Linked DNA regions of Ovis aries. The protein of the gene in region 2 interacts with the protein of the main gene of each other region in a biochemical or structural test. Links are inferred from orthologs where the notes say so. Each region holds a gene or a part of one and is shown on either strand. Other genes may lie near its edges.

Region 1 (3,500 bases), on a different chromosome or scaffold from region 2:
GATCATGGCCTGCCCCCTTCAGTCCCAGTCCCCAATTTTTCCTGAACTGGGAGTCTTCTTAATTTTGTTTCCCTTCCCCCACCCCTGAAGCCATCCTTATCTAGAATGAACTTGGCTTTCTATAACCAGTTAAGGGAGGAAATACTACTAATAATAACAAAAATAATGCCACATTAGCAGGGAGGGAGCATAGCCTAGGGATTAAGAGCATAGCCTCGGATCAGACTGGCCGAGTTTGAATCCCCACCCCACACTGTAGTTTCCTGGCTGTGTGGCTTAGGGACAAATTGTTTCATCTCTTTGCCTCAGTTTGCCCATCTATAAAATGGGTATACTAATAGAATCTTTCTCATGGGGTTGTTGAATACACATTAGAGTAACTACTGTATGCAGACTCTGTGCCACATACTTTATCTGCATCATCTCATCTATTTCACACTGGCATCCTGACATCAGTCCTTGGCTTATAGGTGAGAATCTGGCACAGAGAGAGGAATTCATCTGCCCAAAGTTCCACTGTGCTTCAGTTAGGAGAGCCTGGGTTGGGAGGCAGAGAGCTTGATGTCAAGTAGATTTAACCACTCCAAGAGGGAATGTGACTTGCCCAGGGTCACAGAAGGCAGCAAAGCCATAGTCTCATCCAAGCGCCCTTTATCTCTCTGCTTCAACGTAACTTGCATTTGAGACTCCAGGAGCTGGGGAGGCCTGAGCAAGCAGAGCAGCCCCATCCTCAAGCCGGCTTTGTACTGAGGGGCCACTTCCTACCTGATGAGAGGGAAGAATGGATAGGACCCTGTTTAAAGAGCTAGAGGAATTTCCCTGGTGGTCCAGTGGCTAAGACTCGAAGTTCCCAATGCAGGGGACCCAGGTTCGATCCCTGGTCAGGGAACTAGATCTCACATGCTACAACGAAGTGTTTGCATGCTGCAGCTAAAGACCCCACATTGCACGAAGCCCAAAGATCCCACACCACAACTAAGACCCTGCACAGCCAAATAAATAAATATTTAAAATAATAATAAAGAGGTGGAAACAAACTCAGAGAGGAGAAGCTAGTCACCTAAGGTCACACAGCTAAAAAGTGTCAGGGTCAGAGTCCAACCCAGAGCTCTTCGATTTGGGGTACACTAGCTCCCCTGCCCCTTGCCAAACACTGACAGCCCCCCACCCCGACTCTTTCTGCCTAGAAATCTATGACAAAATGAAGTCTAGCTCGCACAGCATATATATGTTCTTCAACACGTCTGAGCTCCGGGAAGCAGTGCCTGAACCTGTGTTGCTCTCTCGGGCAGAGCTGCGCCTGCTGAGGCTCAAGTTAAAAGTGGAGCAGCACGTGGAGCTGTACCAGGTGGGGGCAAGGGTCCTGGAAGGTGGCCTGGGCTGGGGGGGTCCCAGGACGGCTGCAAGGCTGGTGGCTGCAGGGTCCACGAGGACCAACCCTGAAGGATGAGGGAGCACAGAGTGTGGAGTCTCCTAGAGCCTTAGAATGTTAAATGCTTAGCAGCTGGAATTTTCGGAGCTGGACTCTGAAAACTCAGGACAAGGAAAGTTGGAATCTTTGAAAAGTTGGAGACTTTCAAAACGCCCTGTGCCCACCCAGTAGCCACTAGCCACATATGGCCATTTAAGTGGATTAAAATTAAATAGAAGAAAGAATTCAGTTTCTCAGTCTCACTGGCCATAGTTCAAGTGGCACGTAGTCACATGGGGTGAGTGGCTGCTATTTTGGACACCACCGATAAAGCCCATTTGCATCGTCACAGAAAGTTCTCTTGGATAGCTCTGTTCTAGAAGAGTCTCCAGGAAGAGTCCAGAAAATCTGGATTTTCTTGAAGGTTATGTGACCTAGACGCCCTGTCAGATGGAATGTTAGATTCAGTGGTCGATGTTAGATTCTTACGATGAGGAAGCTTTGATATCAACTGCTCGGAATCTAGAGAACTCGGCTTTATGCTGCCAGTTCCCAGGGTGTCATCATTCCTTGTGGATGTCAGGCGTTTGCAACGTCTAGGTTTCTGGCTCATCGAACTCCTGGGTTTGTTGAACTTGACTCTCATAAAACTTCTCGGGTTCATAGAATGTGTAATTCTTGGGGTGCCACCAAGTGCTGGAGTTATGGAATGACTTCGAACATAACTTCTAGAAAGCGATAGACTCTCGGAATTCAGAGCTGTATCGTCAATGACCTCTATGATGTCAGTAGGGGAATTTTAGCCTCATGAGCTGTCCAAGCTGAAAGGAACTGGGCATTTCATCAGTGAGGAAACTGAGGCCAAAAAAGAGAAAGGAATTTTCCACAGCCATCCCGGAATCAAGGGTGGAGGCTGAAATGCCTAGGTGCCTTGAGCCCCAGCCTGGAGTTCTTTGTCCCCTGTCATGGGGTTGGGTGGTTTCTATGAAGTCCCTCAGTGTGGATGTCTGGGAGGTGGACTGTCTGATGGACTGTGTGGAGACCCGTTTTGGGAAGCAGATGGAGTGAGGGGTGCAGGATACATGGGTGTGTGTGGCAGCCTCTACCCACTATCTCACCCAATTCTTCATCCCTCAGAAATATAGCAACAATTCCTGGCGCTACCTCAGCAACCGGCTGCTCGCCCCCAGCGACTCACCGGAGTGGCTGTCCTTTGACGTCACTGGAGTTGTGCGGCAGTGGCTGACCCACAGAGGTGAGGACCACTTGTCTGCCCCACCTCTATTTTGTAACCCATTATTTGTCCTGGGACCACCCTGCCTAGCACCCCCTGCCTTGTGTTGGTGCTGAAGAGCCCAGACCTGGCCCTCCTCCCAGACACTCACACCTGAGTGATTAATGGTTAATCTATTTCTTGAGCACCTGCATTGTGCTGGGTGATGCTGGAGACACAGAAGTGACGGAAACAGCTTCATCCTGACCTTCAGGAAGCTTGTGCTCCATTGCTTGGGTTGGGGGACTTGGGGAAAAGACCTGAAAACCAGGTAGTAATGTCCCAGTGTGGGCAGGGTTGGGATGGGGAGCCCAGAGGAAGTGCCTGATGCAGCCTGGGAGGTCAGGGAGGGCTTCCTGGAGGAGGGGATATTGGAGCGGGTATCGAAGGGATGCCTGGGGCCAGCCTGGGATAGGAGGGAGGGGCAAAAGTGTTCAAGGCAGGGGGATAGGCTGTGCAGAGGCCTCGAGTCCAGGGAAAGCCTGACACACCTGTTCTGTCTGGAAGAGGACTGTCTGTCCTGTCATGTTGAAGGCCCCAGTGCTCACATCTCCCTTCTGAGTCTCCCTCTCATTCATTCCTTCACTGGGGTAAATGCTAGTAGGTTCCTGCTCTCTGGCTGGCCCTATGCTGGTGGGGTGGGGGAATCAGAGGTAACCATGACAACCTCTAGGCCTGCCCTCATGGGACCCGCACTCACTTCTAGATACCCAGGAAATCTTGCCCAAAGCCCTAGCAGGCCATGATGGCCAGGGGAGGCCATAAGTGCTATAGGAGCCCAGAGTGGGTACCCTTACTCCTCTGAGGGGGTTCAAG
Region 2 (2,336 bases):
CAAGGCAGGAGCCACGGGTTTGAACCCTGAGTCTTGAAGATCCCCTGGAGAAGGGCATGACAACCCACTCCAGTAGTTTCGCCTGGAGAGTCCCATAGACAGAAGAGCCTGGTGGGCTCCAGTCTATAGGGTCGCAGAGAGTCGAATATGACTGAAGTGACCTAGCACGCACTGTGAGGGAACATCAAAGCTGCAGACTCACACTTGCTAAACATTTAACGAAAAAAATACAACCCAGAACCTTGAGTGGCATTGTATGAGAAATGGAAGAAGGGGCAAGATCAGGGTCAGAGGTCAGGGCTCTAGGCTCATAGCTCAGAGATCAGTGTCAGAAGCCAGGAATATTGATACCAGGCATATTCTGACAGTAACAGATTGTCATTGATAGACTCTTTTAACCATATTTTCTGTTGAGCTTTCTGGCAGGTAGATTTGTTGACATTACAAACTTTCACTTTTTATTTACAACAAATAAATTTGTCTAATACAAATACAATTGCTTGCTTTACAAAGTGACCCAGATAGTAATAGTGTCCCTTTCATTTTGCCTCAGTTGAGTAAACTGCATTCATTATACAATCAACTCTTGATCACATCAAGCTCTGGGTTAGTACCAGATATACAAGACAGTCACTCTTCTCAAAGCAAGACACACAAGTACACAGCCCCTTGAGTGTTACAAGAGGGTGACAACTGGGTGCTCTATGAGCATTCACTAGGGGCAGACTGTATCTGAGATGAAACCTTAAGAACAAATCGGCTCTATCCAAGCTCAGATAGTTTGGGGAAAATCACATTAGGCAGAGGTAATAGTACAAAAACAAAACAACAAAAAAATGCCTTTCCTATTGTAAGAAGGCATCCATGTGCAGTGATCCATTCATTTCTGTTTTCTGTTGCAGGTTGGGACTGAGTTTCAACAGCATCTCTGCTGTTGACAATGGCTCTTTGGCCAACACTCCTCATTTGAGGGAACTTCATTTGAACAACAACAAGCTTGTCAAAGTGCCCGGTGGGCTGGCCGACCATAAGTACATCCAGGTAATATAAAACCACTAACTATTGTGAGGAATATCTAGGGAGCAAATCATCCCTACTGGGATGCCTGGAGGCAGGAAATTCTGCTTAGAAATGTTTTTGCAGAGAGATATTTTTAATGTTTCTACATGAATTTTCATTCTGGTTCTGTGAGATATATAGGTTTAAATTAATATTAATTTTTTTTAATTAGGACTACTACCTTGAACTTACTATATTACTTGCTTCCAGAATGTAATTTATTTTTTATGAAGCAGGGTAGTTTCAAGTCACAGATCAGTGTTACAAATACATAGTATTTAGATATCATCTGTAATCTATGCATATGAAATAAAATAGTTTTAACTTTGAGTTTCAACAAACATCTTGTAGGTCAAAAGACAATGTCTACCTAGCTGTGTGACTGAATTAACTTCATATAAATTATCAGTTATCATATATTCTTAAAGATAAGAAGATATGGTTCAGTGGTTCACTATGCTAACAGAGCTTTACAGTTCATAAATCTGTAAAAGTAAGTCATGCTTATTACTTTAAGTAGTCATAGTGATTTCATATATAACAATATAAGATTTCCATTGTTATCTTGAGGAAATTAAACAAACATGTTGTTTAAATTGTGTATTTTTAAAAGATTATATATATGAAAAGCTCAATATATAGTGTGTCTTACTGTGGTCACAGAGATAAAATTATCAAACATGCCATTTTGAAATCTTCCTTGAATATCAGCAAATTTCATGGACATTTACACAGGGCCCCGCATTCAGAAGGACCTTGCTCTTAGTTTCCCATTTCCAGTTGGCATCCATGTAGTCATATTACCTACATTTCTCGAGGCTCTTAGCGGTTTCACCTACTCTACTTTTTTTTTCTATATCCATATAGTCCAAATATTTTTAAATTATGTAATTATCCAACTATCACCACAATATAGTTTTAGAATATTTTGATTACCTCCCAAATAGGCCTCTTTCATATTTATTTCTAGTTGTTCTCAATCTCGTCCTCAGGCACAGGGAATCATTAATCTGGTTTCTCTATATATGTTTCTTTTCTAGACATTTCTAAATGTAATCATACAAGGTGTGGCTTTTGTGGTTGGCTTCTTTCACTTATCAGAGTAATTTTAAGTCATCCATATCACAGCATGTGTCAATAATTCAATCATTTTTATTGATGAATTGCACATCATTATATGGATATACCACATTTTATTTTGCTAGTACTATACCTTTTGATAACTGTAACTTCTGATTATGTTTAGAAATGAGAAAGGAAGTTCCTCTAAGCTTGTT

The links.
Region 1: the proteins of DCN (region 2) and TGFB1 form a complex in vitro, tested with the Homo sapiens proteins (3 studies listed by BioGRID). The link is inferred for Ovis aries from reciprocal best matches to the Homo sapiens genes DCN and TGFB1.

The regions. Positions count from the first base shown.
Region 1 is NC_056067.1:50,056,175-50,059,674, reverse strand, and holds part of TGFB1 (transforming growth factor beta-1 proprotein), read left to right. Parts: intron 1-1,187; coding exon 1,188-1,348; intron 1,349-2,548; coding exon 2,549-2,666; intron 2,667-3,500. UniProt on the Homo sapiens protein: Transforming growth factor beta-1 proprotein: Precursor of the Latency-associated peptide (LAP) and Transforming growth factor beta-1 (TGF-beta-1) chains, which constitute the regulatory and active subunit of TGF-beta-1, respectively.
Region 2 is NC_056056.1:127,553,290-127,555,625, reverse strand, and holds part of DCN (decorin), read left to right. Parts: intron 1-902; coding exon 903-1,041; intron 1,042-2,336. UniProt on the Homo sapiens protein: May affect the rate of fibrils formation.